Xenopus tropicalis: one gene and its partners. The protein of the gene in region 3 purifies or fractionates together with the protein of the main gene of each other region. This does not show direct contact. Links are inferred from orthologs where the notes say so. Each region holds a gene or a part of one and is shown on either strand. Other genes may lie near its edges. The genes, in order: shkbp1, ywhae, ptpn3, kctd3 and vangl2.

Evidence for each region.
Region 1: the proteins of ptpn3 (region 3) and shkbp1 purify together in Homo sapiens (affinity purification with mass spectrometry; 4 studies listed by BioGRID and IntAct, with this or other methods). This does not show direct contact. The link is inferred for Xenopus tropicalis from reciprocal best matches to the Homo sapiens genes PTPN3 and SHKBP1.
Region 2: the proteins of ptpn3 (region 3) and ywhae purify together in Homo sapiens (affinity purification with mass spectrometry; 5 studies listed by BioGRID and IntAct, with this or other methods). This does not show direct contact. The link is inferred for Xenopus tropicalis from reciprocal best matches to the Homo sapiens genes PTPN3 and YWHAE.
Region 4: the proteins of ptpn3 (region 3) and kctd3 purify together in Homo sapiens (affinity purification with mass spectrometry; 4 studies listed by BioGRID and IntAct, with this or other methods). This does not show direct contact. The link is inferred for Xenopus tropicalis from reciprocal best matches to the Homo sapiens genes PTPN3 and KCTD3.
Region 5: the proteins of ptpn3 (region 3) and vangl2 purify together in Homo sapiens (affinity purification with mass spectrometry; 3 studies listed by BioGRID and IntAct, with this or other methods). This does not show direct contact. The link is inferred for Xenopus tropicalis from reciprocal best matches to the Homo sapiens genes PTPN3 and VANGL2.

What each region holds. Positions count from the first base shown.
Region 1 is NC_030684.2:78,029,540-78,035,632, reverse strand, and holds part of shkbp1 (SH3KBP1-binding protein 1), read left to right. Parts: intron 1-269; coding exon 270-440; intron 441-1,360; coding exon 1,361-1,516; intron 1,517-2,024; coding exon 2,025-2,121; intron 2,122-3,341; coding exon 3,342-3,526; intron 3,527-3,631; coding exon 3,632-3,764; intron 3,765-4,208; coding exon 4,209-4,764; 3' UTR 4,765-6,093.
Region 2 is NC_030678.2:46,065,733-46,072,507, forward strand, and holds the start of ywhae (14-3-3 protein epsilon), read right to left. Parts: upstream 4,173-6,775; 5' UTR 4,003-4,172; coding exon 3,939-4,002; intron 1-3,938. UniProt on the Homo sapiens protein: Adapter protein implicated in the regulation of a large spectrum of both general and specialized signaling pathways. Binds to a large number of partners, usually by recognition of a phosphoserine or phosphothreonine motif.
Region 3 is NC_030682.2:75,075,475-75,082,327, reverse strand, and holds the start of ptpn3 (tyrosine-protein phosphatase non-receptor type 3), read right to left. Parts: upstream 4,631-6,853; 5' UTR 4,454-4,630; intron 1-4,453.
Region 4 is NC_030681.2:13,191,729-13,197,821, forward strand, and holds part of kctd3 (BTB/POZ domain-containing protein KCTD3), read right to left. Parts: coding exon 6,016-6,093; intron 5,091-6,015; coding exon 4,974-5,090; intron 4,084-4,973; coding exon 3,913-4,083; intron 2,866-3,912; coding exon 2,710-2,865; intron 1-2,709. UniProt on the Homo sapiens protein: Accessory subunit of potassium/sodium hyperpolarization-activated cyclic nucleotide-gated channel 3 (HCN3) up-regulating its cell-surface expression and current density without affecting its voltage dependence and kinetics.
Region 5 is NC_030684.2:137,172,613-137,179,187, forward strand, and holds the start of vangl2 (vang-like protein 2), read right to left. Parts: upstream 3,643-6,575; 5' UTR 3,401-3,642; intron 1-3,400. UniProt on the Homo sapiens protein: Involved in the control of early morphogenesis and patterning of both axial midline structures and the development of neural plate. Plays a role in the regulation of planar cell polarity, particularly in the orientation of stereociliary bundles in the cochlea.

The DNA of each region.
Region 1 (6,093 bases), on a different chromosome or scaffold from region 3:
GGCCCCCACACACAGACAGCATTGAAAGGAAATCACTATCTTGGTATTTTAGTAGTTCTTGGTTAATTTAAAGGGTGATATACATGAGCTCATAAAATAGAGCTTGCGTTTTATTTTTAGCTAAATAAGACTAACAGGGAATTATCAGTGCACAGATAATCCCCCTGCATAATGCATGTTTACATTACTTAATATATACATTTTTAAAAGCAACCCTACAGATGTCATTTAGTTGCATGTTTGCTTGATCAGATTCTTTCCTACTGTAGGTGACAGTGGCAACTGGATAGAGATTGCATATGGCACAAGCTCTGGAGTGGTGCGAGTCATTGTACAGCACCCAGAAACTGTTGGGTCTGGTCCCCAGCTCTTCCAGACATTTACAGTCCATCGCAGCTCTGTCACCAAAATAATGCTCTCTGAGAGACACCTAATCTCGGGTATGTATAAAGAGAAACTAAAGCATAGTTCTTATATCCTCCTCTAGCGTTGTAGCTATTTTAAAGTTATTTGTAAAGACATAAAACCACTTTTTGTTTTCACTTTTTCTTGTGTGAATAAATAATTTGGCTGCTATGTTTGATATAAGATGAGGCATAAGAAAGCCCTGGAAATAACACTGGCCTTTACGAGGTGCTAGTTTTAAGGCTCTGTTTCTTTGTGGTTCATTCTTCTTAATCTACTTAATTGCATCCTCATACTGTTTTTAATGCTGTATGCATGAATTTTTGCACCTTAAGCTTTGCAGTTGCTTTAGTAAATGAGCCTTCTGTTCATCAGCTTTCTGTGTGTTCTGTAAAATACGTAAACATTTTCAGTCACCTTCTGCAGTAAGGGGTTTAAAGAATTGGAAACTAAAATTCATTCTAGTTTTCCATGACAGTAATTCTCATTTAGCAGCTACATTTTAAATAGGAGATGTAACACTTTCTAGAAATTTGGAATTTTTACAAGTGAACATTGTTTAACTGAACATTTTCATCTTCTAGTGTTACTAGGCCCCTTATGTTGACGTTCACTATTTTTTTGATTTTGAGTTGACAATTGCCAACATGTTAAGCTATGCAATTATGAGAGGATTATTTGCACAAGTTTAAATTATTTGAATAAATGTTTTCTCACTGGTAGAAGCAGGGATAACCCTGATGTATTTTATGGGTATTAGGTAACCAAATGATAGCCATTTGTATCGGATGATATTGTCTGAAACTCCTGACTGCTGTTCTGGCTAATTACTGGCAAACCACAGATTCCTAGAGATCTGGTCGTATGTTTAACTGGTATCAAGTCATTCACTGCTCCTTTGGATTGCGTTTACAGAGCGAAAATTGTTTCAACGTGTATAACGTGTTTTATATAGTATGTGCAGATAATAACCATGTACGGACATGGACTGTGACTCGATTTCGTGGTATGATCTCAACCCAGCCTGGTTCAACTCCTCTGGCTTCATTTAAAATCCTTTCCCTGGAAGACGTTGATGGGCATGCTGGATCCAGTGCAGGAAATGACATTGGTAAGCTTCATTTTTGGGAGAAAAGATTGTTGTTGTTTTTTTTTTTTTTTTTTTTTTTTGCTTACAAGTGCATATTCGAGCTGGACTAAGGTTTACAGTACAGATCTGTACTGGGGCCACTTCTGGAGAATGATCAAAGGCTTGAGGTATTGACCGCTGCCATTCAGTGGGGGAAATAAAGCCACCAGTCAAAAGGCACCTGTCACATCTAATGTTCTATGTGCAGCTTGTCTGTAGAAGATGGAGCATCTTGAAGTGGAGATTCCGTCTTTTCTTATGCTTCAGGCATGACACTTAATATTAGAAGTGACAGTAGCACAGAAGTGTGTGACTGCTGCAGTTTGTTGCTGGATGGCAGCAGTTGTCAAAAATAACCAATGTGGTATAGGCCTAGTGCTTGCAAGCTTTGTTTTCTCAAGTGACTACCCTTTAATGTTTCCAAAGCTTATAGCACAATTCTCTTGGCTTTCTCTTTCTGGATTATGCCAGATTTTTTTTTTCCCATAAGGTCCTTTTGGAGAACGTGATGATCAGCAAGTTTTTATCCAGCGTGTGGTCCCTGATTCTAATATTGTCTATGTCCGCTTGTCTTCAACCGGGAAAAGGTAATTGTTTTTGTTAGGTGTCCTAAGATTTTAAAGGTTAAAAAAAACAAATTATTTTAAATCTCTCTCAATACTAAGAACAATATGGCATAATTTTCTGTGTCCAGAGCATTCTCCGTCCGTGTGTTTGGCTTTGTTGCGGCCATTTTTTTTTTTCTGTCTGGTCATTTTATTTTGATGCATATGTAGCGCTAATACATCATTAGGCTGTCCCCTTTCATATAGTGTGTCATAGGCATCAGAACCAGGGGGGCCATGGTCCCTAATATTTTGCCCCCAAAACTCTTGTGGCAGTGGTGCTGCTAATTATAGTCGCATAAATAAAGGCCCATCTTCCCAGGTTCCCTATTGATTGTGATGTAATGGAGATGTCGCTGATATTCAATACTAATGAGCTTGTTTGTCAGTTATCGAGCTTTTGAATTTGACATTGTTTTTCTAAATCAAAGAACTCTCATATCGAACGATCGCTTACTTATTAAGGAAAACTTATTCAGATAAACTCGAATTTTCCAATACCAGACATCTGGCTTTTCAAACCATAACTCAAATTTGAGGGTTTTTTTAAGCACAAAAAAACTTGAATCGAGGAAAAAAAAAAAAAAACTAGACTGCTGATAAATCACCCCCTTACTGTACGCCTGGCAGTAAGTCCAACACCAATCCATATGTCAAGTCCTTATGCAGTCTTTCTTGCTGTAAGCATGCAATCCACCATACACCACTGAAAATGATTCTCGCCCTTTTGAATACAAGCTAAAAAAACTAACCTTGGCTATCGTAAAAACAATGTAATAAAATAAGGATATAAGAATTCTGCATACTGGTTACAGGTCAGAATAAAATCATGTTACTGGAGTTCTTGAGCAGTCTGTTGGGAAGGTCAAATACATTATCTATGGTGGAGCTAACTGTCTTTCAGAATTTTAAAATCAAGATTATTAGTCTTCAGATTATGTCCCTTTCAATTATCTATCAGTCGGTTAGACAAAGAAAGCACACACACCATATTTTTCACCAATCTGTCAATTGAGATTCAACTCCTGCATGAAGGGGGAGATTGAGAGGAGCATATTATAAAGTATAATAGCATGATTTCAGAAATGTAGAACTTTTTAAAATATTTTCAAGAAATGAAGCTCTCGTTAAATTTTTTTCGCTTTAGGTCCCCATTAAAGGAAAATATTATTTATCTTATTGCCTGATTGTGTTTGGTTTAGAATCTGTGAGATCCGTTCTGTAGACTGCACCCCTATCACATCTTTTACCGTACATGAATGTGAGGGCTCAAGCCGCATTGGCTCCCGTCCACGACGGTACCTCTTTACTGGTCATGCCAGTGGATGTATCCAGATGTGGGATCTTACCACTGCAATGGAAGTAGCAAGCAAAGGGGAAAGCAGAGGTAAAAATTAAAATCCTGTTTTTTTAGGAAGGGGTAGGCAATTATTTGAGCTTTTTGTACCCCTCCAAGGTACTTGTTTTAATCATGCTTTTGCCTGTCCAACAGAACTTGGTGGCCTTACAGAAAAAGAGCTGCTGGAGCAGTTGGAACAGTGTGACTTGGCTTTGACCCGCACGCCTGAATTGAGCCCTGCTGCATCTTTCTCCCATTCAGCCAACCCTCGTGCCTCCATAACCAGGTATTTCCACTGCCACACACTTTCTAATAGAGTAGTGCATTTTCTGTGATCATGCTTCGTTAAAGCAGCTTGGTCAGTCAAGCTGTTCAGAGTTTGATTTGTTCCACATACTCTGCAGGATCTTTTTAACGTAAAGCCCATAACCAGCATTTTTCATATTTCCGGTAAAGCATTCACCATATCTGTTTTGGCAAAGGCTGTTGCAGACAAGCGGGGCTATTTGAAAGTAAATTATTTTACAAAGAAATTTAAACTTTGTTACTTTTGTGTTTTTAAAAGTGCATATGCACACCATGTATATGTTAGACTGTTCCTGGTTAGCTTAATGGCAAGTATATTTTCCACTTTCTGCAGAGACAAGTTTTCCAGTTGTCTGTTTGTGAAGCACTGTGGTTTAATGACATATTTAATATCCATTAACTTCCCAATACCTTCCTTCTGCAGCCTTCAGTCCCAGCCGAGTGAGAGATTCTCCAGGACTGCTTTTCCTTCCTCTCGACCTCCAGTTCTTAATGGACGACCCTCAGAAGGATGGGCTTCTTTGTGTAGTCTCCAGCCTAACCTTTCTGGTAGCTTTGGCTCTCTCCAGAAGTCTGACACTTTGCCCCGCTCTGGCTCCAGGCCTTGCAGAGCACTGCGTAACCAACCACAAATGGAGGTTAATGGAATGGCTTCCACAGATTCTACTTCAGCTCGTGCCAGTGGCAGCTTTGTGGAGCGCTGCCAAGAGCTTGCACGTTACACAGAGTCCCAATATCTGGGTTCACAAAGGTCAAGTTATGAGACTGTAGCCACCAGAATAAAAACCCCTCGGGGTTCTACTTCAGCAAGGCGACCAGGCTCTCCTACACCTCCACAACCTCCTCCACTTGGTATTGCCACTTCTTTAGCTCCATGTTTACCTCCTACTTGTTTCTCTGCTGTGGGGGAGGCATCTGCCTCTTCTCCAACTGCTCCTAAGCTTACACTCAAACCTAGGTTAAATGAGACCTCCTTTTAAAATAGTCTTCTGTGAGTTGCATTGCTAAACAATTGGCAGCTATTTTGATAGAAATCCTTACACCATTAGTATTTATAATTGTGTAGATTTGGCAGTATTTTTAGTACTGGATTTATAAAACCATGCAATTACTGCTCTAAATATACACAACTGTATTTTATTTGTATTAATAAATCTCTGATTCATACAGATATAGTCAGTATAAACGATCAGTTGTTGCCCTTGGTAATGTCTCTACAGTTGTGTAGTCATTAAGAGCACATGGTTTGAATAGTATTATTCCTTCCCACGTTTAACTAGAAACTACAAGGTGCAAAGTGACATGAAAGCTGCTAAAGAACAGAAAAAGCAAGGGGGAAAATGCAACAGAAAGCACCCTCTTTGTGTCTTGCTCCAGTCTGAGGCTCAGCAATTTGTACTTCTAGAATGGAGCACAAAAACGTGTGCCTTACACTGCATTGCTGTATGCTGCCTACATTCAATGTGCTGCATACAAAAAGGGCAACAAATGTATATCATATCTCATGGGTAACATGAATAAAGGACTACCCAGCTCCTTATGCCCCCCTTAATTGTCTGTCTGATGTGCAAACTAGGTGACTGGCTTGCATATCACACACACAAGTCGGGGGACATGAGGAGCAGGTTAGCCCTGTATGTAACCTTTATTTATAGTGGGACTTATATATAGGGCTGCCTTGAACCAGGCATCACTTTGCTACGCACTGCTTTGCAACCAAATACTTGGTTAAGAACTGAGGATGCACATTGGTTTCATTATCATTTTTCTTTTGAAGGAAATTTTGTTTTCTGTAATCTGGAGATAACTGTGGTCTACCCTGGTCACAATGCTTAGGGTTTAACAGCAGTAACGTGGCCTTATCTGCTACATATATTTTTTTTCATGTAAATTGGGATGACTACATGTCTCTGAATAAAGCTTTTACAGCTGTACTAAAGTCAAATTCTACATCTTTGTAAACTTTGTGTTAAATTTTTTTAAACAATGTGAAACAGGACTGATAGGTTTACATAATCTTTCCATGTTAGGTCTCTAGAGTTTGTTCTGGCAAATTCAAGCTTCACCACTACTACCATCACCACCACCATAGTCTTCAAACTCCATCTTTTTAGCAACATCTCACTCTTAATCTTCTTTCTTTTTGGTGGCTTCCACTTGATGGCTGTTGTGAATCTGGGATAACACGCCTGCCATGCGGGGATCACATTTCCTGCAACAGCATTTTCTTGTGGTCTCCTACTCTTCCCCTTAACCACTTTTTAACCACTGTTCTGCACTTTTTTGGCTTCCACAATGGTCTAGCTCCT
Region 2 (6,775 bases), on a different chromosome or scaffold from region 3:
AGCAAACCTTATGCCCTATGTGCCCTCAGAGAGGGAGAGGTTTATTCCCATGGCCAACTTTTAAATCTATATTATGCTAAATTATTCAAAATCCTAAAGTAAGTAAAAGCATTTTATGTTTACATTTTTAGATTCATCTTTGAAAAACCCCAGGTCCCTCATTTCGAATAAGACACCATAACTATATTATAATTTAAAAAGTAAAAAATTTATCACCTCAGGAGGAAATACTAAATGTTACACCTCTGATGTGTCAGTAAGCGTACCTCTAACAGCTCCCCGGAGGGTCAGTTGAATATGCAACAGAGAAAACTTGACTGATGACCAACTTTTTAAAGTGCCTTGGTGATCACCTGGTAACCCTAGAATCTGCAAAGGCCCAGACTCTGGCAGATAGGATGACTATTTACACCAGCACAACTGAGACATCCATGTGTATAGCTAAACCAAGGAAACATGCATACCACAAGGCCAAAAAATGGCCTGCTTGTAGCATGCTTTAAACTTTTGTGTGAGATCTACAGGACGTCTTGAAGCCAGAGACTAGTTTAGCTTAGTTATATCTGAAGCCACCTGGTTTGGATGCAAGAAGAGCATGTTTCAGTGTCTATTAGGTCCTAACACTTGAAAAGAAAATAAAAAACTACAGCTGATTAAATTTTACCAGTGGGATTTTATTCTTATACCCTGCGTGCGCCACACATTCATAAGGTCAGTGAGGTTGTGGCAGAATTGAATTTGAAGCAAATGCCCAGAATGTTTTACAGCAATGCTGTCCAATGGGAGGCCCACAGGACAGATGTGGCCCTCCAATGGAATTTTATAGCCCCCCTGTCCACTAAGGAGCTATATAGACTTCTTTGTATGACATTATTTTAAGATAATATGATGCTCATGTGGAATGTCAAATCTACTCACTGCATGAGAAGTTGGACAGCACTGCTTATTACTGTATCTTAAAGGAACAGTAAACAGTGTTTAACATAAATTCAATGAATAGGGCTTGTGCTGAACATACTTTTTGGCTGTTTTTATTATCAAAAAATCAATGGTTCTACACCATGGTTGATTTTTGCAACAGAGCTAATTAGATCAGTATACAAGCCAACCAAGTGCAGTATGAAGGGGAATTATCTGAGCTCTGGTAATATCATTTGCTACCTGGAAAGGACCAAATATGGAGTAGCTTTTAATTTCCCAGTCCAGCTCAAGAAGTAAATACATTTTTTTGTACTTAAAACTATAGGCAAACAGTATGTTTGGCACAAGGCCTAGTAATTAAACTCATGTTAAACAAGAGTATACAGCCCCTTTACCATTTTACTGAATAGATTTTAACAAATATTTGTACTGAACTTTTGTTCCCTATGTGTACTGTTAGTGTATTCTTAAAAATATACAACTGTGTAGAGACCGATGTGAGTTTAACTGGGTAGACCCCCACCCAGCTCACATTTTTTACCTGTTCTGGCCCACAATCTAAAGACTACCAGGAGGGATACCATAATGCAAGAAGTGAAATAGTAAAAAGGAAGTTTAAAAATTGAATGAATAACTGTAAAGGAATAAAAAAAAAAAATGACACCCCAGAAACCCCATTAAACCCCCCCAAAAAAAATTTCGCAGATAACCCTGGGTACCCAACACTCTTCAGGACTTTAGAACTACTTATGTAGACAGCACTTTAAAAATCAGCAACTTTGTGTGTATATGGGGGGGGGGGGGGTATTATCCGCTATACAGAAGCTCAGTGGAAATATAACTCATACAAATGGAGTCTTTGGGCAGCTGTAGGATGGTATAGATATCTTAGAGACACATCTGATGTGCATGTTTCAGTCACACAGTTCTGAAAATTAAATCTCTTGAATAAAAAGGTTCTCAAAACCTGTTCTAATGCCTCCCTAACAATGACATTTCTGTGAATATCCAAGCATTCCAGCATGAGGACCTACCACATTTTGCTATTCACATAATAATGAACATATGTGGATAAGTGGACATTCTCTTGCCTCAGGTCAGGTTCCAGACACTCTGTTCTAGAACACTACAGCATTCCCAGGATTCCAAATATAGTAAACAAGTGAGACAAAGGTAACCACATAAACAAGCATTCCATAAATGCAAGGAGGTGGGTGACTGGTACCCCCACTCCATTAATAAGGATTTCAATGCCTCTCATGTGGTTTCTTGGGGAGTTATCTAAAATATGTATAAAGTAACATCACAGTGCATTTAATAAATAAATTATTCCTCCATATCTAAAATTTAAGTGGGAGAAATTTAACAGAAAATGTATCTGTTCTAATTAGGGGTGTAAAAGAAAAATAAGGGCGGCTGGAGGAAATTAAATAAACCAGATCTAAATAATAATAAAAATATATCAATTTTCCATGGATGCCTGTTATCCTGTAGAACAGTCAGGACTAAGGCCATTCTGTCAGACAGGGCACGCCCACACCTGCCAACTCTTCACAGACACGCACCCAGATGCAGATCTACAAATCCCTCTGCACGACGAGGGACTGGTCTGACAGGAATGAATGAGCCTGGACGCATGAAACAGCACACAGGCCAGGCCCAGGGCGGAGGTGCGCAGCAAGGCGCGTCCTACTGCTTCACTGAGGCAAGGCTGGCTAAGGAAACAGCCAACTATAGAATCCACTTCTGGGACAGTGTGAATTAACCTGGCAAATATCACATATGAAAATTAAAAAAACGTATAGAAAATAGGCTGTTATCTCAGACAGCCTTTATAATAATGAAAAAAAATCTGAGCTAGACCTATCATGGGAAGATTTTTTGTACAGTAAAAGGGCTTGCAGCATCACCATAACCCTTCCTTCTCCCCCCACCCAGATTGCTGTCAGTGGAATAACAAAGATAGGAGGTCTGCACAATAACACTGCACCAATGTACAATGAAAGGATGCACCCAGCAAGCTACTACACCCTGACTGCTTTGGCTGACAGATGCTGGAATTCTGGGAAAAAATATATTTAAAAATTCAAACACCGTTTGGATGCAGCTTTAAGCTCAGTGGAGCTAGATTTCCATCCCATCGGAACGCTATCAAACCCCTGTGCCTCTTCCAGCTTGTGAAGCCAGTGGAATGCTGGGAGTTGTAGTTCAGAGCTGAAGGTTGCAGGGCTTTGAGGAATAATGGAGACCCCCCTTATGTGACCAGTGTGTGTAACCCAAGAGAACTCATTACTGGCCAGACACGAAACCTGCACATTGTCCATGATTCCAGCTTGACTGGGACAATGAGCCTTTCAGCCCACAAATGCCGCCCGCAGCCTGAGGGCCATCCCACCCAAGTGCCATTTCCATGGCGATGCCTTAACCCCCTGTTCCGCTGCCAGACAAGCGGCTTTTCCCACATATCCAGGAAATTGCACCACTGCAGACGTTTTACCGGCCCCAGCCGCCATCTTCCCCAGTGATCCGCCCATAAGCACACTGCCCTATCCCCGGCACATATATCCCTACATCCCCTCTGCGGTCCCACAGCTCCCATGCACTCCGTGCAGCCCGGTTAGCAGTGCATGCTGGGATGTGTAGTGTATCAATAGGGGAGCTGCCCCCCAGTCTAAGCCTCTGTTATTCCTCCTAAAAGGCTGAAGGGTCAGTTACACCATAAATCGCCCTCCGCCCCCCATAGTCTCGCCCTATTCGGCAGTCGCCATTTTATAAGCAGCCTCCCTTCCTACCACAGCCCCCTCCCGCTTGGCCGCCAGCAGCCAGCCCCAGGGAGCTCCTCTAACACTAAATGGCAGCCAGGTCTAAGCAACTGTCATCCCAGAAAAGCAGTCCCTATTGTACTATGAGGGTCTCCTTTGTCCTCCCCTCCCTTTGCTAGACCCTCCGCCATTTTGTCTCGCCTCCATTCTCTCCGCCCGTCGACCTAAGGGGGGGAATTTAGCGATTCTTCTTACCGTCATATCTCTCGGCTTGCTCTGCCAGCTTGGCTCGGTACACTAGATCCTCTCGCTCTTCCATGGCGGTAGCTAGCGGGGATTAAAGGCGATCTACTGGGCGGATGGAAGCCGATTGTCTGTCTCCGTCTCCCAGTGACTCAACCTCTCTGTCTCTCTAGCTCTGCCCGGGAAAGATGGCAGCCTCAATCCGGGCACTTCCGCCTGCGCACGCGGACAATCGCTCAACTCTATGGCAACGGCTCCCTAGCAACAGCAGCAGGCGCGGCACAAATGGGCGGGGCCCAACGGCTTTGCGTCAGGCATGAAAGGGCGGGGTTTTTACCTCATGCTGACCTTATAAGGGAGTCCGGGAGGTATGGGACGATTGTCTCATTGATTATTGTGATGGAGGGGGAGGTAGTGAAATAGAAAAGACGGGCTTTATACTATATAGCTTCCAGGTAATGTCAGAGATCCTTCTGTTCTAGTAGTTCCCAAGGCTGCGTAAGTAGGCGGGGCGGGAGCGCTAAAGTTGGTCGGGCTGCGCTGCGCTGTGACTGGGGCGCAGTTTTCTATTATTCCCCCTTTTTTTTTTAAATTTAAATCACACTTAAACTCGTCTGTGATGCCAATCTAATTACATTTCCCTCTGTAGGAATGCACTCCCTTCTAATGATAGGGTTATGCAAGGAACAGCAGGATAGCAGCCGATTTCCATTGATCTCCATGGCTGTTACTATAACACAGGGATGGGTGAGAGGGGATGTAAGGGCAGGGGTTACACACAGATTCATTTGCTGGTTTTAGAAAGGGATGAGCTGTGTATGCTTTCCCACCAACAAGTCACTGATGCCAGTGGGAAGGCATTTCAGGGAGATTAGTTGTCTGTCTTTGTGTCCCCATTACTGGTGACAAAATGGTACCAGTGACAGACTGTTACAGCAACTGGTGCATTAAAGTGCGTTACTTAGTGACTTAACTAGGGGTGACGGCCCCACAGCAGTCATTTTAGGGAGCATGCTTAACTTTTGTCTAATCGTGTTGCTAACAGGCAGGTTCTGGAACTGGCAAAGCACCCAGTGAACATTAACTGCAAATTCAATGTTATCTGGCTGAAAATTGGCCAGCTGCTGATCAGGTAAGTTAAAAAAATCCCATTGGGACAAGAACCAAATCAGCTTGTTAGCATGGTCCTCCTCCTAACAGAATGCATACTGTCTTTGGATCAAATTGAATCAGTGTGATATTGACCAGCTCAAGGTGGGCTGATACAGGTGAGATCCTCTTGTTTTGCAGCTTCACCAAAACAAGCAGATCATTTAGTATATGGCCAGCCTTACACTGTGCAGCTCTAGGCTGTATCTCTCGGGACTAGTCTTGCATGAAAACGGACATTAACTCTGTATAGATCCCTGGTAAGGCCTTCCGTTAAAGGGATACTGTCATGACTTTTACGGGGTACTTTTTATTTCTAAATTACACCGTTTACATAGCAAATCATTCCCTCTAGCATTTAAATTTTTATTCTTGAAGCTATCTTTCAGAAGGAGTTGTGCTACAAATTCTCACTGCTTTCAGATAATCTATTCTCTCTTTCCTGTAACTGGAGGAGTCCTAAACTGGACTTGGATTTTTTACTATTAAGTGCTATTCTGACATCTACCACTTTTAGCAATACAGGTGTCAGGGAGCTGCTGTCTCGCTACCTTCCCATTTTTTTGCTGATTGGCTGCTGGGGGGAAGGGGGGGTGACATCACTCCAGCTTTAGAGTGACTGAAGTTTATCAGAGCACAAGTCACCCTGGGAAATGAAGGACATGGCTAGACCCATGTGAAATTTTAAAATAAAATATATATTAAAATGACCTTTTAATAATAAATATAGGAAATAGGGTCTGTGTATTTGAAAAATGGATTTCAATGCAGGATTCTGCTGGAGAAGTTCTATTAACTGATGTGTTTTGGAAAAAACATGTTTTCCCATGACAGTATTCCTTTAAGTATGAAATGCATTTTTGCGCCCCAGTCCTTATGAAGGATATTAATGTGCTAAAAACAGTGCAAAGAAGCGCAGCATTTATATTTATTAATTTTATAGTGCCATTGCCTTCCATATAGCATGTTACAGTGTACAGGGATACAAATGCAAGAGATAAGTTTACATATTTCTATCTCTATTGATGGCACCCTCATCAACCCCGTTGATTCGTCGCGTTGTTTGGGGGTGATCTTTGACTCCAGTCTCTCCTTTTTTGACCACATTAACACCACTTTTAAAACATGTCACTTTTTCCTACGCAGTATTGCCAAAATCCGTCCCTTTCTCTCTACTGCAACAGCTAGGCTGCTCATGCATGCTCTCATCCAATCCCGACTTGACTATTGTAACCTGCTACTAATCGGCCTCCCTAACTCCCATCTTTCCCCCCTACAGTCTATATTAAATACTGCTGCCAGAATTCCCTAACCTTCAAAGCCCTCCATTCCTCGCAGAGCAATCATTTGGTTGCGCCCCCACTACTACTGCTGTTTCCCGCCTTAAACCTTTCTGCCTTGCTGCCCCTTACATTTGGAATGTCCTCCTTGATTTCCTCTGGAGAGAATCCTCCCTCAGTCTTTTTAAAACTAAACTTAAAGACTACCTTTTGGAGCACTCACCCAGCACCTGATCTGGGAACTAGCACTTATAATGTAATGTCAACCACTGTGACCTACAGCACTTATACCGTAAGCTCTACGGGGCAGGGACCTCCTTCCTCTTGTGTCCTCGACTCTTAACTTATTGCAGCTGTATTTATCTTGTATTTATTGTTATACTTTGTATTTATCTGTTATTATCTTATTAACACCCTGTT
Region 3 (6,853 bases):
CTGGGACCTAGATTGTGTACTTGGATTAAACTATAAAACTGCCTGCAGGCTAAAGTCCTGGTTGATGGGGTACTCTCATCTTAAATAACCCTTCAGTGTGGGAAGAGACAAGGCTGCCCTCTATCCCCAATGCTCTTTGCCCTGGCAATTGAGCCACTGGGCATCTTAACTTGTGGGTCAATGCTGATAGAAGGGCTGTGTAAAGGCACTCACCGCTGCCGAGTCTCCATCCAGGCGCGCGGCGCGCGGCGAATGCAAGTGGAACGCTCGTTACAGCGGCGGGAGCTTTAAAGACTTTGCAAATAATCCACAGTGCTCGGTTATCGCTTCTAGTGTGCCCAGCGTTACTTATTGTTGAAACTTCTGTTATTTGACCTTCTGCCTGAAATTCCCGCTTGTGAACCTTGCTGCCAGCCCTGACCCGGACCCGTTTTAACTACACCTTCGTTTTCTCCTCGGTACTTCGCTATTTGGCCTTCCAGCCTCTCTCCACTGCTGTGCTTCCTGTCTCACTCTCAGGTTAAGCCTCCAGCCTAGTGTGAGATGCTTGTGGGTGGCAATCTCGTCAGACTCGCCTGGCTTGACAGGCTGAGACTACATCTCATAGAGGAAAATGTCTTTTTATGCAGATGATATTCTAATTTATCTATCTTGCTCCACCGTGGCCCTGACAGAACTTTTGCAGGAAGTGTCAGTCTTTGGATCATTTTCGGGCTTCCAAGTTAACAGAAATAAATCAGTTATTTTTCCAAAAGATCCCCTTTCCCAGTGGTCCACAATTGCATCCTGAGCAACTCCAGGTAGTATCCACTTTTAAATATCTATATGGAGGACTGAGAATGATCCAAAGTCTGAGACTTCCTGTTTGCTGGGGGTGATAGAGGACTTGGGGTTATCATCATACCAACATTTGTGCTACTTACAATTATTATTTTAAGTACTAAAATGAAAGTCTACTGTAGCCCCTCACCTTCTAGTAGAAACTAATTAGCAATGTGCTACCTAAACAAAAATTGCTATATATGTCCAGAGGCTGTCCAGATAAGTTCAATGTGATGTGGGACCCATGGTTAAGAGCAGGCCCGGATTTGTGGGGAGGCCACAAAGGCCCGGGCCTAGGACAGCAGAAACCTGGTGGCGGCATGCCGCCCCGCCACCCAAAGATCTAAAAATTTGTGTTCCCATACGGAGCAATGCGGACTTCTCCCACTGCTCCATATGCAAGTTTGGCCTATGGCGCACGCGCGCTTGTGACCCCCCCCCCTGCTATTCGCGCATGCGCGCTCGCAGACCCCCCGCACTGTCACGCACGCATGCGCACTCGGGGGGGGGGCGTGTGTCCAGGGGCGGCCTCGGGGCGGCAAATTTGTAAATCCAGCCCTGGTTAAGAGTACAATCTTAAAGGAGAAAGAAAGGCAAAAACTAAGTAAGCTTTATCAGAAAGGTCTATGTAAATACAGCCATAAGCACTCACAGAAACGCTGCACTGACTTCTCTGAAAAAAAGATTAGTTGTATCTGTAATTCCTGTGCCACAGACACGCAGCTTTCTGTTCTCTGCTCTTTCCTGCTCCCCCCTCCCTCAAGAATGCTAAGAACTCACTCCCCCCCCTTAGGAATGTGGATCTGAGCCAATCAGCAGGAAGTTGACTCATAGGCTTACTAACTGAGCATGTTCAGTTTGGTCTCGGTGTCTGTGCAGGAGCGAGGATTATGGGAACTTTCTTTACACAGCTCAGCGTTTTTTCTTCATGTTTGGCTTCAGATCTTCTGAACAGGTGAAATATGGGGAGACTTAAGGGCACTATTGAGACAACTGAAGGTATGCCTGCAGTTTGAGATTAACTCTTTACTAGCCTTTCCTTCTCCTTTAATGAATGTGCCAGGCTCGTATAAGCCTTGTATATTTCCCTCTTTTCGTCCCCTTTTCTATCTCTATATTGCTGATGTTAACACCTTAATAAAAAAAAAAAAAAGAAAGAAAATGTTTTGAATCAAATGTATTTAATTGGTTCTCTTTATTGTCAGGCCTGCTGTAGTTGCTTATATTTCACTTCACAGATTTTAATTTAATTAGTATCTTTATATTTGATAAACAAATTCAAGCAATAGAATGATTCCTACTCTGCAGCATGAACCTTTATTAATGGCTATTTTCAACAGATTTTACCTATTTTAGGTTGCAACTAATATCCACAAGACATAAGATTGTACTAAAAGTGTAACATACTACAGGTATGGGATCCCTTATCTGAAAACCCATTATCCAGAAAGTTCCGAATTATGGAAAGGCCATCTCCCATAGACTCCATTATAAGAAAATAATTCTGTAATTATTCTGTAATTCTGTAATTATAAAACAGTACCTTGTACTTGATCCAAACTGAGATATAATTAATCCTTACTGGATGCAAAACAAGCCTATTGGGTTTATTCAATGTTTAAATGATTTTTAGCAGACTTAAGTTATGGAGATCCAAATTACAGAAAGATCCCTTATCCGGAAAACCACAGGTCCCGAGCATTCTGGATAACAGGTCTAATTCCTGTACAAGTTTGAGAGCCTCAGTGCTAATTTACTGAATTTCTGGGTTAAGATGTATAAATGTAGATGTATTGTGATACATTGCTTACAGTTTAGGTCTAGGTCTAATTCTGCAATGAAAAGGAACATCTATGAATTGCCATTTAAACTTCTATTCACAACCTTCTGAAAAATGGCCCATTTTAATTTTTTATAATAACTCCAGCACAATGAATTATAAAAGCAGGTGCTAAATTTCAACTGTCAGTAGAAACCCAATCAGCAATTATTTTTTAGCAGTCTACAGAAACCATATTGATTGTTATTGTGGTTTACTGTGTCAAATGCTTTAGCAAAGTCAAAGTAGATCACATCCACCAGTTTGGCAAGATCTGTTACGCAGATCTAGGGTTTAATAAGCATAAAGTTGCACACATTCAAATACAAAAGGACTTGCAACAACACACCCCTTCAACATCTACATGTGCAAACAGGATGGTTGCTTCTACACTTCTGCATGAGGTGCAAAGTGCAAACCACACAACAAACTTGCCTTGAAAAGGAGTAACTTCCAGGGCTCACTGTCTGCATGTTGTGCCTACACATGCAACTGACGTGCACTTAATCCATCACAGACAAATGCCATTTTTTCTGACCCAGTGCTGTGCCACCACTGTTGCTTGATATTTATTTCTCACTTACACATCAGTGAGCATCTTAAAGTTATATCAATTCTAAATGAAAAAATAAAGGCTCAATATAGTACACTCTGTACTAATTGGCTCTACAGAAACTGTCATTGGGAACAAAGTGACTGGATTAAATTGTCAATGCCTGTAAAGGAAAAACTTTTTGACAAGAGAGACAATTACAATCTCTCTCACACCAAAAACCCTTCTTACATGGATCTTTCAAGATACAATACAGCATATGCTATATATCATGATTAAACAAAATATATACTATGAGAATTTATAAAAAGGAAGTAACATCCCTACACTAAGATAAATATTGATGTTCATAACAACACTTTTAAATAAATGTAAAATAAAGCCAAGCAAGCCACTAATACTATGTTACATTCCCAAACCTAACCAGGTCTTTTAATTAAAGGGCTAAGGCCAGTAAGGGGGGCACATGAGTGTAAGGGACATAACAGGACTTACATGACTTTAAATATAACAAAGTGTACTTATTGAATATGAAAGTGTATTTTGATTAAGTGACTGAAATATGGTGTATGGAAACAATAATAATGTATGAAATTTAATTCAAGTAAGAAAAATGCATCTTCTTCAAACCTTGGCTACAGTTGTCTTGTTCACTGAGCAATCCTTGTTGTCTCAACAATCCCTATAAAGTCAGTGGTGAAACTACCAAAGTCAGATTGCTGAGCAAGTTATGTTGGCTCAGGAGAGGAGAGGCTTGGCAGGGCCTTCCCATACCTGTCACTTCCCTACTACTGCGCATAATATGGCCCAACTGCTAAGTCTATACCACAGAACATATATACACACATACTGCCACCAGAACACAATATGACTTTGTCTGAAACGTACTAAAATCTGAGGCATGTAATTTGCCAAACAGAAACAGAGTACGGTACCACTTTGAGAGAAAAAACTTTTACAGCAGTGTGTTGTTCTTTTCACATATCATTTTAGCATTTGGGTGTGATTACAATTACAGATATAATTCTATGCACAGCTTTCCTTAATAATACATACTGTTTTCCTCTAAACATCTTAAGCAATCGTGTGCGCAGTGTTAGCACCAGCCTGCAGGTAGGCGACGAGCCAAGCCCCTCAGTATGGCCCGTGGGGGAAATGACAGGCTGACTCACACCTACAGTGCGCAATTGTGACCGAGGCACAGTCTGTTGCTTCCGTGCAGCACCAGCGCCTTGTCTATTCCTACTGCAGTGATTTACCTGCACCATTCAGATCCTCCTCCCGAATCGCTCTGGCCAACCCAGCACAGCCCGACACTCCTGCCACAGCCGAAAGGACAAATCCAGGGCAGTTTTTGTATCGTCCTCTGGATCCTGACAAAAAAAGCAGGTGGTGGTATATCTCCCTTTTTCTTCTTTTCTATTACAGGAAGCCAGACCTCTGCACTGCTGTCCCACTCCAACACACAAGCCTCCTCCTTTCTTTCTCCACCTTCCCCCTTCCTCTTGTCGGTGCGGGGCTCCACCTATCAGGCTGTCTATGTATATTTTATTATCATTGATTAGCCTAACAGCAGCCTTCTCAGTACTAATATCTAGTGTAATCCATTTAGGGAAAAAGCTCGTCTGTTTGATGGCTTCTCCTTTCCTTTTCTCAGCCCTCCTCTGTGTGTGACATCAGCTGGATCCTCCCCTGAGCCTCTTGAGCTGCTCTCCAAAAGAAAATATATCAACAGAATGTAGATTGCACTCCCCCAGGCTCATTCTTCTGCCCGAGCGTGCTGCTGACTGTGTTCTGGTGGAATCTCTAGCGCTCTAAGCTGAGTGTCACTCTAAACCTTCTGCCATTCCGTGAGGAGCATGAGGTTATGTGCTGCTGTTACATGTACAGGCACAGTGCATTAGCATGGGTATCCTAATCAGAGCAGACAGTCACTCGCTAGAATTATGTTCAGTTGCAGTTCCATTTCACCTTATATGTACAGTTTGTATTGTTTTCTACTCTTTTTTCTTTAATCCCAGCTGATGAAGTTGTGAAAATGCCCTAATTAAACGTATGGTAGATATTCAGTGTTAGCTATACCTTTAATTGTTTGATTCTCTGCTACTAAAATACTACAATATGTGATTATTCACAAATCTTGTTATAGTATAGTTGTAGTTATATCAATGTAATGGTTTTGCCATGCCATTATTTTTATCTGACTGCTAATAATGTGGGACAAACCACATGAATAGCGATGAGCGAATTTTCTCGTCAGGCATGGATTTGCAGCGAATTTTTGCATTTCGCCATTGGAGAATTGTTTCGCAAAACTTCAGTGAAAAATCGTTACTTTTAGTATGACGTAGAGCAGGGTTAGGAAGGAGAGAGGGTGCCATGTAGCATGGGATGTACCTTCCATTTGGTATAGTATGTTTTGTTTTTTGAATTTTGTATTTAAATTCTGAGTCAATAAATGGTTGTGTTTCTCACTGAATAATGTGTTTAATTATTGTCCCCAACCTTTCATACTCGTGATCCACAGTCAAATGTAAAAAGACTTGGAGAGCAACACAAGCATCATAAAAGTTCATGGAGGTGCCAAATAAGGGCTGTGATTGGCTATTATCAGCTTACAGGGGCTTTATTTGGTAGGAAATCTTGTTTTTATTCAACCAAAACTTGCCCTCCAAGTCAGGAATTCATAAATAACTACCTGGTTTGGGGGCACTGAGAGCAACATCCAAGGGGTTGGGGAGCAACATGTTGCCCCCGAGTCACTGGTTGGGGATCACTGACGTAGAGAGTAATATTCTGAGACAATTTGCAGTTGGTCTTCATTTTTTTTATTTGTAGTTTTTTTAGTTATTTTACTTTTTGTTCAGCAGCTCTGCAGTTTGTAGTTTAAGCAGCTTTTTGGTTGCTAGGATCCAATTTACCTTAGCGGCCAGGGAGCAATTTGAATGAAAGGATGGTAAATGAATAAGAGAGGACCTAAATTTAAAAACAATTAACATTGACAATTAAACTGTAGCCTCACCAAGTAATAGTTTTTTGGCTGCTGGGGACTGTGACTCCCATTTGAAAGCTGCAAAGAGTTAGAAGAAAAAGGCAAGTATTTTAAAAACTATAAGAAATAAATAATGAAGACCAATGGACAAGTTGCTTAGAATAGGCATTTCTATAACATACTAAAAGATAATTTAAAGGTGAGCCACCCTTATTATTAACTATATAGCATGTTTATGATTTTAGTTACCTTCCCTGCAGTATTGTATGTCAGTTAGAGAATGTTACACGTTAGTCTTTTATAATGCCATAGTTGGCTGTACAGTAGAATTACATTCCTTATGATATTTCTAGGCAGGTGTTTGCAACTAAAACATACAACCATGCAAAAATTCTTAAGAGTAGGAACAGATCTGTCGGTGGAGCAATCTAGTGTGATTAGTACCGTTTTTATCTCTGCTACAAGTAGCGACAATCAAAGCTCTCTGCAGGTCCCTTGCAGGCAGGGCCGCTGTTAAAAACTGGGAACCCATGAAAACAAGCACATACAGTATGGCCACTTGTGTTCACTATACAAACAATCATCTAGCAGGTAGGTATTTTGGGGACAAAAGGTTGGACTTGTTTGATGTATTTTTTTCAATGTAGGACATAGCTGATAATTCAAA
Region 4 (6,093 bases), on a different chromosome or scaffold from region 3:
CTTGTTAAGTAATCATTGAAGACATCCAGTTGCTTTAGATTTATTTATATTGGATATACCATGGCCTGGATAAATGATAAATGATAAATCTTCATATTCATACTTAATAGGATAGTTCTACAGTATTATACAGAGAGGTCCATAGCAGCTCTCATTAGTCTTCCAATAACAATGTATGGAAACCCAACTGAAATCAGCCCCAATTATTCTATGCGTTGTGTTTTATTCTGTACATATACAAGCACTGCACCTTTCCCTAAAGAATGACCACATTAAAGGGATAATGAAATAAATGGCCTTATACATGTCTAGTAACCCATAGCAACCAACCAGGTAGCATTTACTAGTCAGCTGTTTGAAACCCAAGATCTGGTTAGTTTCTGTGGGTTACTATACAAGCAAACTTAAAGGAGAACTAGAGCTTAACTAAAGAAGTAGGCTATAAATATTGTACATTATGTTTTGGGGTTCTGTACCAGCCCAAAGCAACCCCAGCCCTTTAGCGGACAGATCTGTGCCTCTGTAGATGTCCCAGTAGCCCCCCATCTTCTTTTCTGTTAAATCCCAGCACATGTTCTGTGCTGCTGTCACTTACGTGAGCTTAGGGGCCCACACACACTATATTGTATATACAGAATATAAATGGCACAATATAACCTGAGCTTAGGGACCCACTCACAATATACTGTATATACAGAATATAAATGGCACAGTATAACCTGAGCTTAGGGACCCACTCACACTATACTGTATATACAGAATATAAATGGCACAGTATAACCTGAGCTTAGGGACCCACTCACAATATACTGTATATACAGAATATAAATGGCACAGTATAACCTGAGCTTAGGGGCCCACTCACACTATACTGTATATACAGAATATAAATGGCACAGTATAACCTGAGCTTAGGGACCCACTCACAATATACTGTATATACAGAATATAAATGGCACAATATAACCTGAGCTTAGGGACCCACTCACACTATACTGTATATACAGAATATAAATGGCACAATATAACCTGAGCTTAGGGACCCACTCACACTATACTGTATATACAGAATATAAATGTCACAGTATAACCTGAGCTTAGGGACCCACTCACACTATACTGTATATACAGAATATAAATGGCACAGTATAACCTGAGCTTAGGGGCCCACTCACAATATACTGTATATACAGAATATAAATGGCACAGTATAACCTGAGCTTAGGGACCCACTCACACTATACTGTATATACAGAATATAAATGTCACAGTATAACCTGAGCTTAGGGGCCCACTCACAATATACTGTATATACAGAATATAAATGGCACAGTATAACCTGAGCTTAGGGGCCCACTCACACTATACTGTATATACAGAATATAAATGTCACAGTATAACCTGAGCTTAGGGGCCCACTCACACTATACTGTATATATACAATATAAATGGCACACTATACTGTATATATACAGAATATAAATGGCACAATATAACCTGAGCTTAGGGGCCCACTCACAATATACTGTATATACAGAATATAAATGGCACAGTATAACCTGAGCTTAGGGGCCCACTCACACTATACTGTATATACAGAATATAAATGTCACAGTATAACCTGAGCTTAGGGGCCCACTCACACTATACTGTATATACAGAATATAAATGGCACAATATAACCTGAGCTTAGGGACCCACTCACACTATACTGTATATACAGAATATAAATGGCACAGTATAACCTGAGCTTAGGGACCCACTCACACTATACTGTATATATAGAATATAAATGGCACAGTATAACCTGAGCTTAGGGGCCCACTCACACTATACTGTATATACAGAATATAAATGTCACAGTATAACCTGAGCTTAGGGGCCCACTCACTATATACTGTATATATACAATATAAATGGTACAATATAACCTGAGCTTAGGGGCCCACTCACAATATACTGTATATATAGAATATACATGTTGCTATATAAAGGCTGATTAGTAGTTTATTTAGGTTCACATTACATGGCAGCTTTGAAACCAGTGTAATTAGCACCAGAATCACCCCTGTAGCATCAGCTTATATAACAGGCCAACCTCATTTTCTGCTTGATAACTTGTAACGACCCCTAAGCTCAGCTTCCAAACAGCTGCCCACTGAGCATGTGCAGTGCCACTGACACTTTCCAAGATGGGGGGAGCCCCTGTGACAACGGTAAAGACCTGAATCATTGCTGCTATTGAGATGCTGAAACTTTAGGCTGGTGCTGTAAGTTTGTATATAAAATACGGCATTTTTTCCCATATTCTTTTTAGGGCTTAGTTCTCCTTTATGGCCATATATTTCATTACCCCTTCTTTGAAATCCAATATCTGATTGGTACTATTGGGTTACTAGATCTAAGTTTATGGGATTTTTATTGTTACCCAAATATCAGTGTTATGTTGCATACATTTTTCTCTATTTATACCATAAGTCTTCCCCTAGTCTTCCAATAGGCTGCAGGAAGGACTTGCTGGAAGGTCTATTTCACCCGTATGTTCCTGACTAAGCTGGAATACAAGTATTTTCCCATAGGACAATGATCCTGCCCCTTGATTTAAAAGGAAGTAGATACCAACAAACAACCTTTTGTGGTACTGACAACTCCCTGTATATAGAGAGCCTCCCAAGCCCTGCATACTGCATATTGTTATACAAGCTATACCTATGTCATTGCCTGAAGAGTAGCTCCCATGGCTTTCTGCTTCTTCTAAAGACAAGATCTTGAAAGAGGCAAGAGGAGTGGAGCCGGGCTGGGTGGAAATCATCCCTCGGAATCGCGTCACTGTCCACGTCCGGACGTGATTGTTATCAGCGCAGACTATTAAATACATTAAAACAAGAGTTTATTCCACACAGTCATATTGAAGAACATGGAAAAATCCAAAGCAAAATAGGACTTTTTTTTCCCTGAAGAATTCCTGCTGTTTTGCATATGAAGGAGATGACAGTTTGGTAACAATGTTGCCATCATTGTTCTTTTGTGTGACCCTCCATTGGCTGCACATATGCTCTATAGTGATCCCCAACCAGTGGCTCAGGGGCAACATGTTGCTCCCCAACTCCTTGGATGTTGCTCCCAGTGCCCCCAAACCAGGGAGTTATTTTTGAATTCCTGACTTGGGGGCAAGTTTTGGTTGAATAAAAACAAGATTTCCTACCAAATAAAGCCCCTGTAAGCTGATAGGGTGCATAGAGGCCCCTAATAGCCAATCACAGCCCTTATTTGGCACCTCCATGAACTTTTATGGTGCTTGTGTTGCTCTCCAAGTCCTTTTACATTTGACTGTGGTTCAAGAGTAAGAAAGGTTGGGGACCCCTGCTCTATAGGAACCCTACAATACAACTGATGAATGGGCCCAACAAGGATGGGACCAGTGTGCCGCCGGGATGTGACCCAGTGGAGTAACATGAATACTCAGCAAAGACACTTTCTCTGTGTAAATAGAATTTTGTTTAGTTTTGCAGCATGATATAGGTACATACTGTACATCGGGTTGGGTACCCGCAGAATACCTGCAAAGCAGTTGGGTTTTGGGTAGAAGGTCCCCAATTACCAGACCATGTAGGCAGTCTGTGGGTACCTTGCTTGGGTGCAGAAGCGTTCCCTCCCACCCCAACAATAATGCTATTTTTTTTCCTCCTTAACCGGAGTGATATCACCGTGCACGGTGACGTCACTTTTGGTGACCAGCATGGAAGGTAAGTTTACCCATTACTAGTAGGGTTGCGTAACTGGTCTGGGTAGGAGGCATAGCAGGGTGATGGGTGCAGGTCCAACTGAGGCACAGGTATGCCCAACCAGACCCGCACCGGTCTCATAGCACATACAATAAACATACAAATAAAGTATCTACATATCTAGTACCTGAAACAAGGTGTTTCTCAGACAACATGATCTTTGTGACAGAACTCCGATGAACAGTGAAAGTCTGGAAGAGCTGGGGGCCAGAGCCAACCGTCTCGGGGTGCTGCACTATCACTCGCACAGCGCCAGAACTTGTACCGTAGGCGATCTCGATCCAGTTTCCGCTCACACCTGAAACCCACAGCAGACATGTAACCATTACGTCATTATTGTGTTTATCTTGATATTTATGATGGGAACCAATGGAAAGACATTAAGAAAAAAAAGTAAGGTTTTCTTGGAGGTTTCTACATAATGGAAGGAAAGTAGGAGCAGCGCAATTGTGTCAGGAGAATTGCCCCTTTGATACCCCAATGATGCAAGAATTCTGGGAAAAAACACATGCCGATTGCGCTCGAAACTGCACTTTGCTCACTGCACTTGCGGATATAGGTGAGCCCCATATAACCAGAAGTTAAATGTGTATATGTATATATGTGTATATGTATATATGTGTATATGTATATATGTGTATTTGTGTATATGTGTGTACGTGTATATGTGTGTATGTGTGTATATGTGTGTGTATGTGTGTGTATGTGTGTGTATGTGTGTGTGTGTGTGTGTGTGTGTGTATGTGTGTGTGTATGTGTGTGTGTATGTGTGTACGTGTATATGTGTATGTGTGTATATGTGTGTGTATGTGTGTGTGTGTATGTGTGTGTGTATATGTGTGTATGTGTGTGTGTGTGTGTATGTGTGTATATGTGTGTACGTGTATATGTGTGTGTGTGTGTATGTGTGTATATGTGTGTACGTGTATATGTGTGTATGTGTGTGTGTATGTGTGTATATGTGTGTACGTGTATATGTGTGTATGTGTGTTTATGTGTGTATGTGTGTTTATGTGTGTATGTGTGTTTATGTGTGTATGTGTGTTTATGTGTGTATGTGTGTTTATGTGTGTATGTGTGTATGTGTGTGTATGTGTGTATGTGTGTATATGTGTATGTGTATATGCTATTTATAAGCACTTTTATTCAAATCCAGCTGTGTATCAGAATTCCGATACAGATACTCACTTGTTTTAGGAGTCAGGTAGACGCTCAGGGCAGTGATGGCATCGTTAGAGGGATCATGGTACAGTTCAGTCACCAGGAGATCATTGTCTTTCATACGCAGTGGAAATTTCTGCATATCTGTAATAAAATTACCCCTTGAAACTGGCTGCTTTACACTGAAATATTCCTGCTTTGTACATATACCTATGTTTACTTAGTTTTATGGTATCTCTCTACAGATTAGGGAGCTTAGTACAGGGGAATCCCTATGGTGCCATAGTTTTATGGTATCTCTCTGTACAGGCTATGAGCAAACTTAGGGGCTGTTCCTGCTGAATTGTGCTTAGTACAAGGGAATCCCTATGTGCCACAGTTTTATGGTATCTCTCTGTACAGGCTGAGGAAATTTAGGGGGCTGTTCCTGCTGAATTGTGCTTAGTACAGGGGAATCCCTATGGTGCTATAGTTTTATGGTATCTCTCTGTACAGGCTATGAGCAAACTTAGGGGGCTGTTCCTGCTGAATTGTGCTTAGTACAGGGAATCACTATGCTGCCATAGTTTTATGGTATCTCTCTGTACATGCTATGGGCAAACTTAGGGGGCTGTTCCTGCTGAATTGTGCTTAGTACAGGGGAATCCCCATGGTGCTATAGTTTTATGGTATCTCTCTGTACAGGCTATGAGCAAACTTAGGGGGCTGTTCCTGCTGAATTGTGCTTAGTACAGGGAATCACTATGCTGCCATAGTTTTATGGTATCTCTCTGTACATGCTATGGGCAAACATAGGGGGCTGTTCCTGCTGAATTGTGCTTAGTACAGGGGAATCCCCATGGTGCTATAGTTTTATGGTATCTCTCTGTACAGGCTATGAGCTTATATACAGCTTACATAAGGCTAAGCCAGCAAGCTGAGTCAGTGAGACATTCTTGGGGAAATAAAACAAAAGGAAAATAAATATTCAGCTCTAGGTTTCCATACACATAAAAGTATCAAGTTTCCTTCAATATCTGGTACATGTTTATAATAAATGTACATAAAAGCTCTTTGTAAATCTGCTGACCTATATAATAAATGGATCCATTGTTGCAACCCAAGAGAAGAAATGATCCAGCGGTATCGTAGCTTGTAATAGGGACAA
Region 5 (6,575 bases), on a different chromosome or scaffold from region 3:
AGGTCTCTATGTGCCGTTTCCACCATGGAATCCTTTAGCAAAGACCTTTAGTTGAACCTTTACCCCCTGTGGCTCTAAAATACCCCCCCCCCCCCCCGCTGCTACTATACCAGGGCAAAGAAACCCACTGCTCCTGTGCCATATACCCCTCCCTGGGGTTAAGTACAAAAGATGCCCATGTAGAACCCCCAGGGAGAGGACCACATCACCCTGGGGAGACCCCCAGGGAGAGACCACATCACCCTGGGGAGAGGCCCATGTAGAACCACCAGGGAGGAGGACCACATCTCCCCGAGGAGAGGCCCATGTAGAACCCCCAGGGAGAGGCCCATGTAGAACCCCCAGGAAGGAAGGCCCACATCAGCCCAGGGAGAGGCCCATGTAGAACCACTAGAGAGAGGACCACATCACACCAGGGAGAGGCCCATGTAGAACCACCAGGGAGAGGACCACATCGCCCCAGGGAGATGCCCATGTAGAACCACCAAGGAGAGGACCACATCACCCTGGGGAGAGGCCCATGTAGAACCACCAGGGAGGAGGACCACATCTCCCCGAGGAGAGGCCCATGTAGAACCCCCAGGGAGAGGCCCATGTAGAACCCCCAGGAAGGAAGGCCCACATCAGCCCAGGGAGAGGCCCATGTAGAACCACTAGAGAGAGGACCACATCACACCAGGGAGAGGCCCATGTAGAACCACCAGGGAGAGGACCACATCGCCCCAGGGAGATGCCCATGTAGAACCACCAAGGAGAGGACCACATCACCCTGGGGAAAGGCCCACGTAGAACCACCAGGGAGAGGACCACATCACCCCGGGGAGAGGCCCATGTAGAACCACCAGGGAGAGGGTCACAACACCAGCCTAATTTTCAAAGATATCTTGCCATATATTGGTCAGAAAGGCCCCATGCAGTGGCCAATGCAAGCTTTAAATGCCTACATTTACGCCTGACCCACCATCCGCACCAGCCTGGGGTAATTCATGTGCCAAATACCCACCACTACCGAAAACCATCACCAGAGCTGCACATCCTGGCTATAACTACAGCCAAACCAGCGCCAAGATTTCTGGACTATGAACCCAATACCCTATGCTATAACTTGTTTTTATTCTCCCCACCTGTTACCCCCCAACCCTACTTTTTTGGCAGGTACCATCTGAATGAACCCCCCAGGCACCTAAATCATCTTCCCAGCCCTTTCACTAACGCTCCTTCTCATGGGGTGGGAATGTCACTTTTTTTTTTCTTTTATAAGGACCAACACTATCACCCTTTCTCCTTTGTAATTCTGTCCCATTCAGTGGGAAACAGCCACCCCCGCCGTGCCCTGATAGATCTACCCACCCCCCCTTCACAGATACTTGACCCTGACACTCAATTACTGGGCTCGGAATGCATTTCAAATTCATTAATTTTAGGTCACACACAAACATTTAATGCACACGCATGTAAATCGTATATACTGACAGATTATACACACACTAAAGGGGAAATAAACCCAAAAATACATTCACAGTCTTTAACTGTATTTTTTTGTTGTTCGCAGCTTTGTGGTTAATTATTAATGAGGCTCTGCTTTACTACACCGTGGTGTTATCATCGCTCCTTTATGGCATGAATGTAGAACAATAAACACCTATTTGTGTTCTGTAGGAGAGTAAACAGGCCGGCCCAGACGGCCCTTCCCGAGAGGCTAGCAACGGGGGAAACAATTGAGTGCAGAACGGCCGGTGTGGATTGGGTGTGAAGTGTAACGTTGGCAGTTCCTCCCCAAACCAACCCGCCCCAGGCAACTGACTTATGACCCAGGCTGATCCGTCAGGAGAGTCCCTGGCTTGGTGGGGCCTTGCAGGGATTTCAGTGGAATTCAAGGCCTTGGGAAGGGAAATGCGGCTGCTGCGAGTGCTCTGTGCCAGGCTTAGTAAGGCTCAGGCAGTGCTGAAAGGATCACTGACACCCCCAGCTTCCCATGGGAATGCCGCAGCTATGGATCTAACCAGGGGAATGGGAATCAAAGGCAAAATGAAGGATCAGGCTTACTTAATGGGAGATACTCCAGATGCTGCTGAAGGAGGGGTGCTGGGAGTTGCATCTTAAAAAGATCTGGAGGGCCTCAACTAGCCCATGCTTGATCTGATGAATGCAGGAGAATCAGGGCGGTCGGATCTAGATCCAACAGGAGGGCTGCTGTGCGGGGCAATAGGGCAAGGTCCATAGGGAAGGCTATGGTCAGCAGTAATAGGGATGAGAGGCAAGGCCGTGGCTCCCAGATCTAATGGGGGGGGGGGGGGGGGCTGGGGTGCAGGGCATTAGGGCAAGATCTAAAGGGAAGGATAGGGATCAGGAGTAATAGGGATGAGAGACAAGGGGGATCTAATAGGGGGGCTGGGGTGCAGAGCAATAGGGCTAGATCTAAAGGGAAGGCTTCAGCAGGGATCAGCAGTGATAGGGATGAGAGGCAAGGCCATGGGTCCCAGATCTAATGGGGGGGCTGTTGTGTAGGGCAATAGGGCTAGATCTAAAGGGAAGGCTATGGATCAGCAGTAATAGGGATAAGAGGCAAGGCCGTGGCTCCCAGATCTAATGGGGGGGGGGGCTGTTGTGTAGGGCAATAGGGCAAGATCTAAAGGGAAAGATGGGTGGCTCCCAGATCTAATGGGGGGGGGTACAAATGGGAGGTCTAGGGATCAGGATAATTGGATCCAGGCTGAAAGAAGGGATGAGGTGCAGGGCCATAGGGCCCCAATCTAATGGGAGGGCAAAGGCTTAGGGTAATTAGATCCAGGCTGAAAGAAGGGATGAGGTGCAGGGCCGCGAGGGCAGGATTTAATAGGATGGCCAAGTTTTAGGGTAATTGGACCATGAGGGGTATATATACAGGAAGGGCTGGAGTGCAAATGGGAGGTCTAAGGGTCAGAGTAATTGGATCCAGACTTAAAGCAAGGGATGAGGTGCAGGGCCACAGGGCCCAGAGCTACTGGGAGGGCAAAGGCTCAGGGTAATGGGATTTAGGCTGAAAAGAGGGATGAGGTGCAGGGCCATGGAACCCCACATCTAGCTGCTACCCAGAGCCAATGGGAGGCCAGGCATCAGGGTAACCGGACCCATAATAGTCAGTGGCACCCAGCTCTAACCAGAGGGCTTGGGTGCAGGGCTAGGGAATATGGGTACAGGGGCCCAAATGCCAAGCAGGCCAGTGAAACCCACAGTAACATAGGGAAAGGCATGTACCTGGGAAGCCAATGTAGGATAGAATGATAGATAGAATGATAGCAGGCAGTTGCAGGCAGCAGCAGGCAGTTTGAGGGCACAGCAAGGAGACTGTACCACTCTCACCCACCCATGGGGGGCACAATGTACCCGGCACAATCCACCCCGGGGGAGAGGTACTTACCAGGGCAGCAGGCAGGCTCCCGGCGGGCATGGGATCCCAGGCACTGGGGGAAGGGAGACGGACGGAGGCTGTTTGAGAAAAGGAGGCGGAGGGAGAAAGGGGGAGCGCCAGTCCTTTTGTAGGAGCCTCGCTGCGCCGGTATTGCGCCGGTATTGCGCTAAATCCACAGGGCGACACTCGGGGTGCGGGGAGAGGGGTCACAGGCGGCCGAACGGGGAGCGGGCGGGATCCCCCGGAGATCCACAACGCACAATCCTTAGGCTGTGAGAGAGAGAGCAGCGCTGTGCCTCCGCCCCCAAGCTCCATACACTTCTACGGCTGCAGCCCGGCAAGCCCCGCCCTCCCGGCAAGCCCCACCCACCGCTCTCCTCCCCCCTCCCTGCCCATTGTCTCACTTCCCCGGATCCCCTTTCTGTGGGGGGGGGGGGGGGCAAACCCAGCGCAGCTTGGGGCTTTAGCACTGATCTTATTTGGGATTTCTTTCCCCTCTCACCTTCTGCTGCTGCCTAATCGCTCCCTAAGGGCTGTTTAGCAAGTCATTATCAGAGGCCAACTAGCTGCCTGGTATATACTGGGGTGGGTGTCACAGAAGGGTTAATGTTAGGCTATCTGCCTATAGACTGAGCCTAACAATTCTACTGCTTAGTGATGTCATAGCCTTAACAATGCTGCTTAGTGATGTCATCCCTTAGAATGGAAGCTTAGTGATGTCACTGCTCACATGGCTCCCTGGTGTGTCTGTATCATTATATATAGTGAATAAAGTACCCCCTATTGTAACATATAGGGATATTATAAGGCACAGAAGGGTTCTATGGCCATATAAAGGTTATTTGTGGCTCTTGTATATTATATAGTGAATAAAGTACCCCCTATTGTAACATATAGGGATATTATAAGGCACAGAGGAGTTCCATGGCCATATAAAGGGTATTTGTGGCTCTTGTATATTATATAGTGAATAAAGTACCCCCTATTGTAACATATAGGGATATTATAAGGCACAGAGGGGTTCCATGGCCATATAAAGGGTATTTGTGGCTCCTGTATATTATATAGTGAATAAAGTGCCCCCTATTGTAACATATAGGGATATTATAAGTCACAGAGGGGTTCCATGGCCATATAAAGGGTATTTGTGGCTCCTGTATATTATATAGTGAATAAAGTACCCCCTATTGTAACATATAGGGATATTATAAGTCATAGAGAAGTCCCATGACCATAAAGGTCATGGAAATCATAGGTCACTTCTAATATCCTCATATTTTACAACAGGGGTACTTTATTTATTATAATATACAAGTTTAAGTGAGTCATGTGACAGAAATGACATCACCAAGCTCAGATTATAACTGATGACATTACTACTCACCATTTATAAGGATATCATTTATGGTTTGGTCCCATAGGGAAATTACTGTATATTATATATGTATATATGTACCTTTATATGGTCATGGGACTGGGGAAAAAACCCAGACCGATCCGGGGCACGCAGGTTGTCCTCTCTCGATGTGCCTAAGTATATGCGCTCGGGGGTTGGGTGGGCGGCGGGGGCCACATGGGGGTCTCTTGGGGGGGTTTAATTGGGCCCTGCAACCCCTCAGTCTGACCCTGATGGAACCCCTCTGTGACTTATAATATCCCTATATTTTACAATAAGGGGTACTTTATTCACTATATAATATACAAGAGCCACAAATACCCTTTATATGGCCATGGAACCCCTCTGTGACTTATAATATCCATATATGTTACAATAAGGGGTACTTTATTCACTATATAATATACAGGAGCCACAAATAACCTTTATCTGGCCATGGAACCCCTCTGTGAATTATAATATCCCTATATGTTACAATAGGGAGTACTTTATTCACTATATAATATACAGGAGCCACAAATAACCTTTATATGGCCATGGAACCCCTCTGTGACTTATAATATCCCTATATGTTACAATAGGGGGTACTTTATTCACTATATAATATACAAGAGCCACAGATACCCTTTATATGGCCATGGAACCCCTCTGTGACTTATAATATCCCTATATGTTACAATAGGGGGTACTTTATTCACTATATAATATACAGGAGCCACAAATACCCTTTATATGGCCATGGAACCCCTCTGTGAATTATAATATCCCTATATGTTACAATAGGGGCTACTTTATTCACTATATAATATACAGGAGCCACAAATAACCTTTATATGGCCATGGAACCCCTCTGTGCCTTATAATATCCCTATATGTTACAATAGGGGGTACTTTATTCACTATATAATATACAGGAGCCACAAATAACCTTTATATGGCCATGGAACCCCTCTGTGAATTATAATATCCCTATATGTTACAATAGGGGGTACTTTATTCACTATATAATATACAAGAGCCACAAATACCCTTTATATGGCCATGGAACCCCTCTGTGACTTATAATATCCCTATATGTTACAATAGGGGGTACTTTATTCACTATATAATATACAGGAGCCACAAATACCCTTTATATGGCCATGGAACCCCTCTGTGCCTTATAATATCCCTATATGTTACAATAGGGGGTACTTTATTCACTATATAATATACAGGAGCCACAAATACCCTTTATATGGCCATGGAACCCCTCTGTGACTTATAATATCCCTATATGTTACAATAGGGGGTACTTTATTCACTATATAATATACAAGAGCCACAAATAACCTTTATATGGCCATGGAACCCCTCTGTGACTTATAATATCCCTATATTTTACAATAAAGGATACTAGAAGTCAAGATTTTCACAACCTTTATAAAAGCAGGGGGTAAAAAGCTGCATCCGCGTGCACCCAGCAAACTTTAATTCTGGGCCCCCACACCATCCTGCATTGAGGCTAAGCATAATGTAGTGGAGGTATTAGGGGTGCAGTAGATTTGCCCCCCCCCCCGGCAATGTGGTTCTGCCAGTGGCATGCCTTTATATGGTCATGGGACCCCTCACTGATTTCTAATATTCTTGTAGTTTTACATCAGGGACAATAGTTTTCCCTATATTTCTATATGTATCGTGTTGAACTACAACTGCTAGCCCCCCCCCCCCCCTGTTGCCAAATGCTGATGGGAGTGGTGGTAGAACAAACATAGTTTGGATCATGTTTATCAGGCTTCTTTGCCGAGG